Mus musculus: one gene and its partners. The protein of the gene in region 3 interacts with the protein of the main gene of each other region in a biochemical or structural test. Links are inferred from orthologs where the notes say so. Each region holds a gene or a part of one and is shown on either strand. Other genes may lie near its edges.

The links. The genes of interacting proteins can lie anywhere in the genome.
Region 1: the proteins of Ubc (region 3) and Usp3 form a complex in vitro, tested with the Homo sapiens proteins (6 studies listed by BioGRID, with this or other methods). The link is inferred for Mus musculus from reciprocal best matches to the Homo sapiens genes UBC and USP3.
Region 2: the proteins of Ubc (region 3) and Ubac2 form a complex in vitro, tested with the Homo sapiens proteins (5 studies listed by BioGRID). The link is inferred for Mus musculus from reciprocal best matches to the Homo sapiens genes UBC and UBAC2.

Annotation. Positions count from the first base shown.
Region 1 is NC_000075.6:66,589,923-66,594,815, reverse strand, and holds the start of Usp3 (ubiquitin carboxyl-terminal hydrolase 3), read left to right. Parts: upstream 1-1,700; 5' UTR 1,701-1,941; coding exon 1,942-2,032; intron 2,033-2,034; exon of another isoform or gene 2,035-2,303; coding exon of another isoform or gene 2,304-2,652; intron 2,653-4,893. UniProt on the Homo sapiens protein: Deubiquitinase that plays a role in several cellular processes including transcriptional regulation, cell cycle progression or innate immunity.
Region 2 is NC_000080.6:121,877,147-121,881,798, forward strand, and holds the start of Ubac2 (ubiquitin-associated domain-containing protein 2 precursor), read left to right. Parts: upstream 1-1,459; 5' UTR 1,460-1,597; coding exon 1,598-1,628; intron 1,629-2,061; exon of another isoform or gene 2,062-2,262; intron 2,263-4,652. UniProt on the Homo sapiens protein: Restricts trafficking of FAF2 from the endoplasmic reticulum to lipid droplets.
Region 3 is NC_000071.6:125,387,218-125,391,356, forward strand, and holds the start of Ubc (polyubiquitin-C), read right to left. Parts: upstream 2,801-4,139; 5' UTR 2,693-2,800; intron 1,048-2,692; 5' UTR 1,045-1,047; coding exon 1-1,044.

The sequences.
Region 1 (4,893 bases), on a different chromosome or scaffold from region 3:
GGCTGTGGGTTCACTGAATGAGGGTCAGTGCCCAGAGGACTCTGAGAAGGTTGCTTGAGAAAGACTTGTGAAACAAATAGATGGAAGAGACTGAATAGGGTTCAGATACTGTTTATTCTCCTCTCTCGTCCCAAGGAAGCAGTCATCTCCTTTTTTTTTTTTTTAATAAGAAAAACAAACCTTATCTGTTAATTACTACAGGTTAGGAATTCACACAGATAAGTACTGTTTTGCCAGTGGATAGGCGAGGAAAAAGAGTCGAGAGGACTAGCTAAGGTTTGCCATGAAGTACCTGCCAGAGCTGATCTGAACAACTTTCCACAATTTCTCACCATCAAAACCCGTCCAAGCCTTGTTTTGACAGCAATCATATACAACTTGGGGAAGTGGTAGAGTTGCTTGGACTGAGGAATCTGAAATACCACCCTGGGCAGAGATGTCCTAGGTGGGTGGACACTATCAGGCAGAAGGCTACAGGGTGCAGTAGTGGGGTGTACGGAAGTGGCTTAAGGGGTGCTAGAGGCGTGCACTTCAGGGAGGTGCCCAGTGCTAACTAACCACTATCCGGCCCAGCCAGTTAATCATTTCCTGACCTTTCCTTTCCTGCCCCATGGATTGGCACATTGTTCTTCCCTCTCCACTTGCTTGTCAGGGGATGAAGGAAAGAAGCCCCTTTACCAGGTTAAACACCACCAACCAAACAAAGAAAGAAAGCCCAACTTTGGAGGCTAGATTTGTGGGAGCCCCAGATATCCTCAAGGCAGAGAATGTGAGGTGGCAGGCTCTCTACCTCTAGACGCTCCTCCTGTCTTCTTCACTTCTTTCTAGAGAGAGATTTGAAGCGGGGGGGGGGGGGGTGCGGGGGTCCAATCTTCCTAAAGCAAATTATACTCTTGGTTTCACTTTTTGTTAAAAAGGGGACCGTAGCAGCAGCTTGAGAGGGTGTTTTGAGGATTAAATGAGGTGTGGTATGCAAAGTGCCTGGCTGGGAGCCAGGTGGGCTTCTAACAAATGTTACACTGCCTCTTTTTATTACCTAGCACCCGCGACCTTGTACAGCAAACTGGATTATTTCGTTCAACTTCAAGAGGTATAGGTATGAAAATACCCACAATGGGCAGGAGATATCAGTGAGTCATAACGGCATGGCGTGGACCCCGAACACAGGCGTTCCGGTGGGCCCAGCCGTGCAGTATCCCGGTGACACACTCAGGCCAGAGTTCAGAACTCAGAACAGTTCCGGACCCCGCCTGCTACCGGGAGAACACGAAAGTCAGGACTGTTCTGGGCTCTTTGCAGCCGGCTGGGCCATCGAGGGCCACGCCCCAAAAGTCTGTTTCTTCCTGTGTAAAATGGGGCTTCAATGCACGTCGGTGTGAGTGGTTTTCATTTTCCGTACTCTTTGCGGTGTGGTCACATATTCTACCTCGCTGTTGTAGCCAACTCACTGCAGTAGAAGCAGCGGTCCCGACCGCTCTGCCCCGGATGAGTACCCACACTTGTCGGGTTCCCAAGAATCGGCTGCAGCGGCCGGGGGCAGATTTCGGAAAGTCACTTCACATCCCCGTAGGACTTTACACTAGCTGCTAGCACTGGGTGAGCACCAATGCCCCGCCCACTGACTAGTGTGGGGGCGGGGCCCGGGCTGGCCTGGGGGCGTAACCAGCAGGGTGGGCGGGGCCGCCGGAGAAGGCGGAAGCCTACTGTCCCTGGGCGGCGGCAGAACCAGGAGTCCGGATTTTCACGTTCTCCGGAGCGGGGCGCCGGGAGACGGCGGATGGCAAAACCCGGCGCCCGGAAGCCCTTGCTTTCTTTGACGCAAAGGCTCGGGACCCAGAAGCCGCCGTCTGCCCAGTGCCGGGTCAGAAGCGACCCCAGACGGAGCCTCTGAAGTCCCTCCGCCCCAGAGCCTCGGCTGTCCCCGCCGCCGTCCTCGTGGCCATGGAGTGTCCGCACCTCAGCTCCAGCGTCTGCATCGCCCCGGACTCAGCCAAGTTCCCCAACGGCTCCCCGTCGTCCTGGTGCTGCAGCGGTGAGTGCGGCTCTGGGGCTGGCCGGCCGCGCACCCGAGGTCCCGGCTCTGGCCCGGGCCTTGCCGTCGAAGGGCCGCGGGTGCGGGGCAGCGCGCGGCCTCGTTGGGGGGGGGGGGAGGCTGAGGGGAGCAAGCGGGCCCGGCGCGCGGGGCGAGGGGACGCGGCGCGGCGCGGCGGGCGCGGTGGCGGCTCCTTTGTTTCGCGCGGCCCGACGGCCGGGCCGGCTGAGGAGAGGCCCGCGGGGGCCTGAGGCGAGCGCGCAGCGGCGGGATGACGCGGCGGCTCGCACCCCAAGGCTCCGCGAACCTAAGGGCCGGCTCCGCGCGCGGCCGCACGTGTGGCGGGGTCGGGCTCGCGGTCCCCCGTGGGCCGGACAGGCAAAGCGCCGCTCTGCGGGCGCAGCTTTGTCTGGACTGCCGGCGCGCGAGCCCCTTTGGGTTGCGTTTCCTCGGGTTCCCACAGGCTCCTGCCTCCCCCGCAGCCCCTGAGCGGACTGCGCTGGGGGCTGCTCACCTCGGAGTCTCTCTTCAGCCTGTGAGGGTGAAGTTTGAAAACAGGCTGCGGGCTCCGAAAGCTCCGGAGAAGGCAGCCAACAGCTGCTTTGGAGGGGCGGCTCGAGGTTGGGTGTTTTGGGTTTTTTTGTTTTTTTTTGTTTTGCCTTTCGAAGATTGTTCCGAGGCAGTTTTTCGGGTTGGCAGGGATTTCGTTGGGAATTCCCGAGTGCGTGTAAGACACTTCGTAGGTTTATGTTATGCCTTCGAGTTGCTTAAGCGTTAACTCCTTCTGCTTCCTTGGAAGCCCCGGTGCCCTCTCATTGTCTGCCGGGACTTAAGGTCGGACGGGCCACCCGGCTTTGATTACTTCCTGGTAGGGCCCTGGTGCCGACGCTGGTCTTTGTTTATGAGCTTTAAGATTATCACTGGCAGCTTGGGCTGTAGTGTAAAATGTGAATCGTGTGCATCAGAAATCAAGTTCATCTGCAAGGCTGAAAAGACGGTGGGACGATTCAGCAGAGTGGTCTTTCAGCCTGGGTTGGATTGGAGCTAGGAAGGTAGTTTAGGGACTGCTTTAATACTTTTGACGTACTACTTCTTCAAAGGGGATTATATTCTTGAAGCAAAATATACGGGGTAACACAAGGAAAACTGTCCTCCAGGATAAGGAATAGAAATAACTGCAGTTTTCTGGAGCTCCAAGACTTGGTGTCTTGCTTACCTTTGTAAAGTCAGGTGTCTTTCTTCTGTTCTGCATGAAGCCTTTAAAGATTAATAAGTTAATTGGTTTCACAGGACAGTATTGCAGTTCCTTTGGTTTGTGAGACTGGGTTTCTATGATAGCCCAGGGTGACCTAGAATTTATAATTTTCCTCTCTCAGCCCTTGGAGTGCTGGGATTATAGGCATGTGCTACCCCTTCTGGGCCAGTATTGCAGTTCTTTGTGGGAGTGCAGAACTTGTGTGAATGGGTCTTACCTGTAAATACATCTTCAACAGTGAGTCTTGAGCTTGGAACATAACACTACCAACAACAGGCCAGTCCATGTGGTCTGTTAGTTCATTAGCTGTAGCTGTGGGGCTATAGTTGAATTTTCTCAAGAGAGATTTGTCACACACACACACACACACACACACACCCTCTCACTAGGAAAAGCTTACACCTCACAAGGAATGGGGCACTTCTTGTTCATCTGTAGTCAACTACAGGGATTCCGAGATGGGTGTATCAATACAAGCCTAATTTTTTTTCTATGTAAAATTATATCAAACTTAGAAATGGCTTCACTGTGCACATGCATCTAAAAAAATTATGCAAGTGGCAGGTATCCTGTTGTGAGTCAGTCTTGCCTCCATCAGTTAGGGAGTCCACTTTGGGGAAAAGAGACAGCAAATGAAGCCCCTCTTGAGGAATTCAGCACATTAAAATGGAGCATAACTGGGAGACTTGTGCTGAAAACAAGAACAAATTAGTAATGGAAGGGTGATTTCTTTACAACGTGCAGTAAATGGTTGCCTCTGACCCTGTTTTGGAAGGATGGGTCTAATCACTTGCATTTATAGTACTAATAAAGCTAGTTTCACAACTCAGTGGGTGTTTTTTTTTTTTTTTTTCTATCTCAGGCTTATTTCATAATGGCCTCCTATTTTAACCTGTTGGCATCCCTTCATTGGTACAATCAAATATTATTGTATAAAGCTTGATCTTGTTCTTGCCTGTCTGTAGTTTCAGTAATTAAATGATTGGTAAATCTGTGATCCCTTAACCAACTAACTCATCATCTTGGAGTGTTATGTATTCTGGCTTTTATTTTTCTTCAACAATCCTGTATGTATGTAGGTAGGTATGTATGTATGTGTGTATTATTTTTGGTAGGAGATTAAAAGGGTAGCCAGTGTGTTGAAGTAATGCTCTGACTGGTATTGAGTGTCATACACTCTTACTGAGGAGGGAGAAAATCCCTGTTTTGGCACCTAGACAATAAAAGTAATGCCCCTGCCTTATTTTCATTGGGAGTATGCAAATATACCCCAGTGAAACAGCCAGGCAGATTGCAAAAGACCAGCAGCACAGACTCTAGCAGGCACCACCTCTGTGGACCAGCACTCCCGATTCCTTGAGTGTGAGTTTCAATATGTCATCCGGAGAAAGAACAGTGCTTTGGATTTACTCACAGGTCTCTGTTAGGATGAGCAAGATTGTGTGTGAAAGTCTGAGAAACTACTGCTTTCTTGTGTCTAAGTAATTTAATGGTATCACAGACTAGTACATTTTTATAAATAGGACTCTGAAAATTAAATGTCTAAGCCTATTAAATGGAGCTCAAACACATTGACTATATGATGAATTGTTTTACAAGGAGATAC
Region 2 (4,652 bases), on a different chromosome or scaffold from region 3:
TTCATGTTGATATCAGTCAGTATGTGCAACTGCTACAAAACTTCTGACTACTGTTCATCTCACAGCTTTCTATCTTTTCAGATTTCAGATCTTCCAAACATACTAATGTTCAACGGAATGAGGAATTTACTTCATTTCTTCCTCTCTAACCCTGATTAGATAATAACCTTTTATAGTTTATATTAGTTTACCATAAGTGGTTACTATCTATAATATATAGGACTTAAGTAGACAGGATTAAATTTCAAAACAGTAATTTAAGAGACATAATGTGACTTTGAAGCTTTCCTTAAATCTACACTATCCCCCTCGTTTCTATGTATTTAACCACTATAGGGCCATTTCTTAGATGAATCAGGCAAAAATGTCCAAATTCAACCATTCAGTTTTGACACCGGGTACTTTCCTAGGCAAACCATTTTAAGGAAGAATGCTTTTAATGCCTGGCTCAATACCCTGTGGGGATTCCCTGCGCACTTCTCTCTTTTTAGTTTGTTGTGATGTTTTGGATGAAGTATATGAAGAAAAGCTCACCCAGAGTAGGTCTGGAATTAGAAAAGCAAGCACTTAGATTAAATGGCATTTTTCCCTCCATAAAATGTCAAAGTTTAAATGGTGGCTTCTAGATTACTTGCAACTGGGGATCTGCCTTAACACGCACTTGGTCGTCCTGCAGTTCCAGTTGGTTTATCAGGCGCTGGTTAATTGGAAAACCTTACTACTCATGGATGAAAAAGAACGGGAAAGGAAAAATACACGTTTTAGCATTACTACAAAAATCGGCCGGGTCTTCTGAACACCCTTCAGTGCTCCCAGGGACCCCATAGTTTGAGAACCAGTCTTAAGTGGGCTACAGATTTTGTGGGAATCAGCTTCTGCGAAGATCATAAGGAAATAATTTTCCTGCGAAATAACTCAACTGGATGAACATACAGTCCCCCCCCCCCCCCCCAAGCCCTGGCTGTCCTGGAACTCACTCTCTAAGACCTGGCTGGCCTCGAACTCAACCTCCCAAGTGCTGGGATTAAAGGCGTGCGCCACCACTGCCCGGAACAGAAAGCTAAGTGTATTTTTAAAACTTTTTCTTCTACTAGCCGTCTTGTCCACCCTCACCCCAGCAACCCCAGGTGCTTGGTGGGTCACCGGAAGCAGACTGTTCACTGAGCGCCAAGGCCCACACGGAAGTACTGAGCATGCGTGGGACTCGCGGCCGTCTCGCCCAGTGAAAGGTCAGAGGTCTCGAGAAAGGCCTGGTGTTCTGTGGCGGAAGAACCGGCTCGCTCACGGCGCTTCACGCCGTAAGGTTCTGTACTGGGAATTCTGGCATGCGCCAAACCCGCCCCGAACTACCGGAAGCAGCTACCATCCGGCTCGCCCGCACCTACGCACTTCCTCTCTGGGAAGGAAGGGGCGGGCTCTGGCCGAGTGTGCACGCCCCACGGGCTGCGCATGCGCCTTCTTCCTGGCGGCTCCGGAGCGCCTCGCCGGGCCGACTTCGCTCGCTGGTTGACAGTGCGCCTGCGCGGTCGCTGGGGGCTCTCCACCTCTGCCTCCCCTCCCCCTGACGCCCCGCGGGGGCTCCGGGCCCGGCGGGACCATGTTCACCAGCACCGGCTCCAGTGGGCTTTGTGAGTACCGGTTCCCTCATCCTTGGGCCGCCCTTCGCTCCATTCCGAGCTCTTCCCGGACCCGGCTCGGGGCAGCGGGGGACTCGGGGTTGCAGGAGGCTGGGGGCCCCTTGCCTCCCGCGCCCGAGCCTTGTCAGTTCTTGCTCTTAGGGGGCAGCGGGCGCCGCACCCACCATAGCCCCGAGGGCCGAGGGGGTGCCACGTCCATTCCGCTCCCGGCGTCTCCCACAAGGTGCGCAGCAGCTCCTGCCCTGCTGCAGGTGGGCTGGGCAGTTAGGGTCCAGCCGGGTGCCCCGCTCATCTCGTGGCCCGGGCCCACGCACGCACTTGGCGACTCGAGTGCGGGGCTGGAAGATGTTCCCGTGGGGGCGACGCTGGAACCCTGCTCGGTTCCCTCTCCCCCTTCATTCATACAGGCTTCTTTGGGACCCACCTGATTCCTGGAACGTGTGAATTTCATCCTCCGCTCCAGAATCTGCCCCCTCAATATTAACTTCCACGTACATCTTACCCGTTGTCCTTGAAGAGTTTTTGCGAGCTGAAAAAGTGAGCGCTTTTCAGTGAAGTTAGGAAGTCACTTGGCAAGAGAATGCAAGCTTTGCTTCTGGATGCCGCTGCACTCTCCAGGAGTGTCTGCGGTGGTCAGCAGGTAGAGGGCGGAGAAGTTTATTCAACCTCCAGGCACCCCCCCCCCCCACGACATTATGTTGAGTTGACTTTAGAGAGTGGACTCTTAACTAAACAGTGTTGAGATTAGGCATTGATACACTAACAGCAAACTGTTTGAACAAGCCGCAGTTCGCAGTTTCTTTCTCTGTCGGTATTTCCCATCTCTGCGTGTGAAGTTAATGTTGCTAGAGCACAGAAGTGCCTGGCATCTCCAGATGGTACATTCTGTTGTGAACGTCATGAGCCTTTCAAAGAACACTCCTGTTACATAGTCTGAGAGCTGACTGTCAGAGCCAGCGACATAATTTAAAGTCGTCCTCACCTCTCACCGTAATCTCAGGCTTTGAAGTAGGTTTAATGTTGTTTATGATCTCCATATTTAGTACCTAATTTAAGTTATGGAAACGTTGACGTATTGGCCCCAGAATCCATCAGAACTACTAGTGAGTTGGTCTTCAAACTACTGTTTGGATGAATAAGGTAGTGTGGCTTTCCTAGGGTTACACTATGTGGGTGGATCTGTCAACAGCAGATTTCTTCGATTTTAGTTGTTCTCAGCATCTTGAGGCACCCTTTTGTACCAAACATGTAAAAGTTAAAAAGTGACAGTCTGGGGACATGGCTCAGTGGTTATGAAGCTTGTCCTGCAGGCATGAATATCTGAGTTCTAATTCTCAATACCCATGTAAAAGCTAAGGCATGCAGTGTGTGTCTATAACTCACCAGTGAGAGGTGGAGGCAGGAGATTCCCCAGGGCTTTGCTGGCCAGCCAGTTTACTGTGTCAAAAAAAGTGGAGTGATTCAGAAAGACATCCCAATATCAGCATGCACACAGGTATACACGTGCACACACACGTGCGCACACATATGCACACGGGAGAAATCTGATCGAGGGCAGCACAGTATGGATTAGGTTGTAGTCGCATTTGTAGCACAGCTTTAAGAAAGGTAATCATTTGTTATAGCTGGCATGGGTGCGTGTTGAACAGGTGTGTTCTCAGGGCCAACTGTAGCCTAGGGAAAGCTGAGGTTATAGGTCCCTCTTGAGCTCCCTCGAGCCGGTGTTCAGAGCGGAGGAGTTACTGGGATGGCTTAGGTCATGCTTTAGGTGTGCATTTGACAAGCATCCAGGACCTGTGAACTGTTTGGTTTTGGAAACACGGTGTTAGGCAAGTCTTAGGTTCAATGTTTCTGATTTTGACAATAGAGCTTAGTGGTGGTTCTCCCTAGATCAGTCATTTGGCCGTTCCTGAATGTAATGACTTTTTCTTTTTCTTTCCTTTTGTTTTGTTTTGTTTTCTTTTTCTTTTTTTTTCAAGACAGGGTTTCTCTGTGTAGCCCTGGCTGTCCTGGAACTCACTCTGTAGACCAGGCTGGCCTCAAACTCAAGAGATCCACCTGCCTCTGCCTCCCAAGTTCTGTGATTAAAGGCGTGCGCCACCACCTCCCGGCTTGTAATGACTTTTCTTGCTTCAGTGTTTTCTCCTACATAGCTACTCCGCTGAGTGATGTCCTTTTAGGTAGGCAGCTGTGTGGCTCCGTGGTTAGGTCAAAGGTCTGATCCTGAGGAAGAAGCAAGCACCCTCAGAGGGGTGATTGATACATCTCTGCCTAGAGGCTGTGACTAGCCATCTTTCTGGCCATTTCCCGCACCTGCCTGCCCATCTGACATTTGTGATCAGGAGATAAAGGTGCTTTAGTGCTAACACTTCGCTCCCCTCCCGTTCATTCAGTTGAGGACCTCCTGAAGCCCTGCATGGTTTACATAGACAGTAATGTGGTAAACAGAGTAAAGGAGTCTAGCATCAAACAGGCCAGTCAGTAATCAAAGTGCTCTTCAGTACTGTCACGTGTAGTGGATGGTGGTCCTGGTAGAGGGCTGCTGTGTGTTTGCGGGAAAAGCCTGAGAAATGAAGGAGCCAGGCATGCTACGTACGGTTCCTTCAGAAAGTTGTTTTGAAGAAAGGAAGCAGCATGCACAAAGACAGAAGGTGCAGTGCAGCAGGATGTGTGCAAGGTTCTGCAGGAGGCGTGCGCTGCTAGGGCAGTGAACCAGGGGAAAGGGCGCTTGTGATTATTTCTTTGCCACTGTTTTGTTCTGTGTCAGTTAGGATTGGGTAAAAGTGCTTGTAGATAGTGTGCATAATGTAGTTTAAATTCTCACATGTAGACTAACCCTGTCACTAAATAATACATGTAACCATTTTATTAGTAAGAATTCTCATTACTCATAGCACAGAATATTTGCTTTGTATGATGCACCCAATAAGCACTAATTACCATGTTTAACATATCCCAGGTCTAGTTAGTTCGCAAGCAATTCAGTGTCAAGGGGCGGGGGTGGGGTGGGGTGGG
Region 3 (4,139 bases):
GATCAGCCTCTGCTGGTCAGGGGGGATGCCCTCCTTGTCCTGGATCTTTGCCTTGACATTCTCAATGGTGTCACTGGGCTCGACCTCCAGGGTGATGGTTTTGCCTGTCAGGGTCTTCACAAAGATCTGCATCCCACCTCTGAGGCGAAGGACTAAGTGCAGGGTGGACTCTTTCTGGATGTTGTAGTCTGACAGGGTGCGGCCATCTTCCAGCTGCTTGCCTGCAAAGATCAGCCTCTGCTGGTCAGGGGGGATGCCCTCCTTGTCCTGGATCTTTGCCTTGACATTCTCAATGGTGTCACTGGGCTCGACCTCCAGGGTGATGGTCTTGCCTGTCAGGGTCTTCACAAAGATCTGCATGCCACCTCTGAGGCGAAGGACCAGGTGCAGGGTGGACTCTTTCTGGATGTTGTAGTCTGACAGGGTGCGGCCATCTTCCAGCTGCTTGCCTGCAAAGATCAGCCTCTGCTGGTCAGGGGGGATGCCCTCCTTGTCCTGGATCTTTGCCTTGACATTCTCTATGGTGTCACTGGGCTCGACCTCCAGGGTGATGGTCTTGCCTGTCAGGGTCTTCACAAAGATCTGCATCCCACCTCTGAGGCGAAGGACCAGGTGCAGGGTGGACTCTTTCTGGATGTTGTAGTCTGACAGGGTGCGGCCATCTTCCAGCTGCTTGCCTGCAAAGATCAGCCTCTGCTGGTCAGGGGGGATGCCCTCCTTGTCCTGGATCTTTGCCTTGACATTCTCTATGGTGTCACTGGGCTCGACCTCCAGGGTGATGGTCTTGCCTGTCAGGGTCTTCACAAAGATCTGCATGCCACCTCTGAGGCGAAGGACCAGGTGCAGGGTGGACTCTTTCTGGATGTTGTAGTCTGACAGGGTGCGGCCATCTTCCAGCTGCTTGCCTGCAAAGATCAGCCTCTGCTGGTCAGGGGGGATGCCCTCCTTGTCCTGGATCTTTGCCTTGACATTCTCAATGGTGTCACTGGGCTCGACCTCCAGGGTGATGGTCTTACCAGTTAAGGTTTTCACAAAGATCTGCATCGTCTGTCACAAAATATACAAAACAATTCACAGGTCAGGAATGACACAAATATTTGTGGGATGGCATCAACATTTGTCAACTGGATGCTATAAGTCTAAATAGCAAGGTCTATCTACACAGATTCTGTCTTGAATCCAATCCCCCCACCCCGAAAAACCATCAAGAAAATAAGATTGTTGACTAACAAAGTTAAGAAACCTCGGCATGGTGAGTCTTTTTGTATTACCAAATTTACAGGATGGAGACTTCAGTATACCAACAGCTGAAAGTCAATTTCTGTCTATTTGAACAGTTTGCAGAAAAGCCTGACCTCTGGGAGGTTATGAAACCACAGCAGTCCCGGATTCAGTTTCAGAATGGTAATATAGCAAGTTACTACTGCAAAACTAAGTCTGAGCCCATGCCTATCGCTGACCTCAGCACTGGGGACACTGAGGTGGGCAGATCTCTAACTGGAAGGTCAGCCAGAGACAGTGTAATCCTGCCTCAACTCTCCTTCCCCCAAAAGAACACCAAACTTTTGTCTGAACGATTAAAATTAGTCTGGAGTGGTGGTACTGGCCTTGGACCTCATCACATGGGGTGGTAGAGGCAGAGATTTTGACAGTTTAAAAAAAAACACCCTTGTCGCAGGACAATGGTGGTGCCTTTCGTCCCAACACTTGGGAGGCAGAGGCAGGAGGATTTCTGGGTTCGAGGCCAGCCTGATCTACAGAGTGAGATGCGGGACAGCCAGGACTACATAGAGAAACCGTCTCGAACCCCCCCCCCAAAAGTTTCAGTAGTCATAGTTGTACAGCGACATTCTTAAAACGAAACAGGACAAGAATGGCTCACATTTCCCCTCTGAATTTCCGGTTCCTGTTTACTCTGGAGAGGCTACCGGAGGCCGAGACCCAAACCCTGTCCTACAACCGAGGGAAAGCTAAAGTCAAGATAGTGACGTCACTATCCATTAGGAGGCCACGCAACCCGCGACGTCACAGGGGGCGGCAGGCCAGGCAGGCTGAACCGCCGCCCAACCCCCTTCCGGTCTCGATCGCACTTCCGTCTTTCAGCAAACGAACGGACGAACGCCGGGCCAATCGACCTCTCGGGCCAGCCCAATATCCACGGCTCTCACAGCAGAGGCTCCTACGGCGCGCAACCCTAATTCAGTCCCCACCCCACAGTCTCCGACGTCCCCGGCTTAACCGGAGGGCAGCGGCCTCGCGGGCCTTTTTCCTCCCCCAACCTCGTCCTGCGCGTCAGAGCCCCGCGTCTTCCCCCTCAGGCTTCCATCTGGCCGCCATCTTGCCGCCCAGTCCTCTGCCTCGGGGCAGCCGCGGTCCGCGCGGGCCACGGAAACCAAACGTCTGGGCCGCGGGGCTGCCTCTCGCCCCGTCTCGCCTCCAGCCTCCCGTCCCCGACCGGGTGCGGCGGCTTTCTCCTCACCAGCGGTGGTGGCGGCAGTCCTCACACAGCAGACGGAACTCGCAGTCTCCACGGAACTAGCTGCGGCACGCCCGGCGTCTCTTTATATAGTCACCGAAGCCCCGCCCCCCCCCTTCCGCGCGGTCCCTCCGCGGGCAATGCGGTCAGGGACTACTTTGTAACGCCGGGTCCAGTCTCGGCAGCGAAAGCGACAGGCTAAAACTATCAAGGTACCTCTCTCACGGAGTTGTTTCACGGTGGCGTCCAGAGATTGAGGGGCTTTGTGTGGGAGGGCAGGGCTGTGACCTCGGGCGACTCCGCGGAGGGATCAGCGCGCGTGAGACGATCGGCACGAAAACACGGCTGGGATCACTGAGGCCGGAGCGGGCCTTGGCGCAGGCGCCCTGCGGCTTCGCGGCCTGGCGCCCCTAGTCAGGCCACCACCCCCCACCCCCCCTGTTTTCTTTCCGCGCTAGGGGGACCCAGGGCTTTGGCTCCTGTCACACTGGGATCCCATTGGTGACCTCGCCTCCTCAATCCCCTCATCCCCGGCGGGTCACTATGCCCAGCCCTCACTGTTTTGGCACAGTGACAGGGTGGATGACTGTGCAAATCTCCTAACAAGGAAAATGACAAAGGGTTTTTAATAAATTTAAAAAAAAAAAATACGAAGGAGGGAATCTCTCCCCGATTTGGAAAAACGAATCTGAGTTTGTCAAGGAAAGCAGACAGTCTACACAGTTCTTGAAAACTGTTGGCATTAGATCTGAAGCCCAGCAGAACCTGATCTTTCCAGATTTTTCCTAAACCTTGTGTCCTTGGATTCGAGAAGGTTCTATGTTTTCTATGTGCTTGTCACTAAGTAAAGGTCAAAATTTCCAAATGTTGTTCATATTTGTTGTTCATATTCTGAGACTGAACCCACTGAAGCCCTGATTTTTAAATTTTTGTTGTTCAGATGGGGGTTTCTCTGTGTAGCCCTGCCTGTCCTGGAATATGCTATGTAGACCAGGCTGGTCTCAAGTTTATATAGGTCCTCCTGCCTCTGCCTCCCAAGTATGGTCTACAGATCAAGTTCCAGAATGGCCAGGGCTACACTTGACTTGAAAAACCAAAAACCAAACAAAAAACCCCCACAAAAACAAAAAAGCACAAATGTGCACGTGTAGTACAATGTTCAGATTACAGCAAGCATATATCCCACTTATACGAATCAAATTATTCAGGGTTTTTTTTGTTTTGTTTTGTTTTGTTTTTTTTTTTTTGGTTTTTTGAGACAGGGTTTCTCTGTGTAGCCCTGACTGTCCTGGAACTCACTTTGTAGACCAGGCTGGCCCCGAACTCAGAAATCCACCTGCCTCTGCCTCCAAAGTGCTGGGATTAAAGGCCTGCGCCACCACTGCCCAGCTCAGGTTTTTGAAATGTAAGGCCTAAGACCTTAGAAGGTAAGAATTGAATCCCTGATGGGGAGAGATGGCTCCCCAGTAGGAACAGGTCTTTTTCCAGAGTACATGAATTCAATACCCAGCAACCCTGTCAGGCAGCTAGCTTGTGACTCCAGCTTCAGGAGGGTCCAATGTCCCTAGGGACACTTTCACATACATGTGGCACACACTTAGATGGACACACACTATTAAATGCCTTTAATCTCAGCATTTTTTGAGTTTTTTTGAGACAGGGT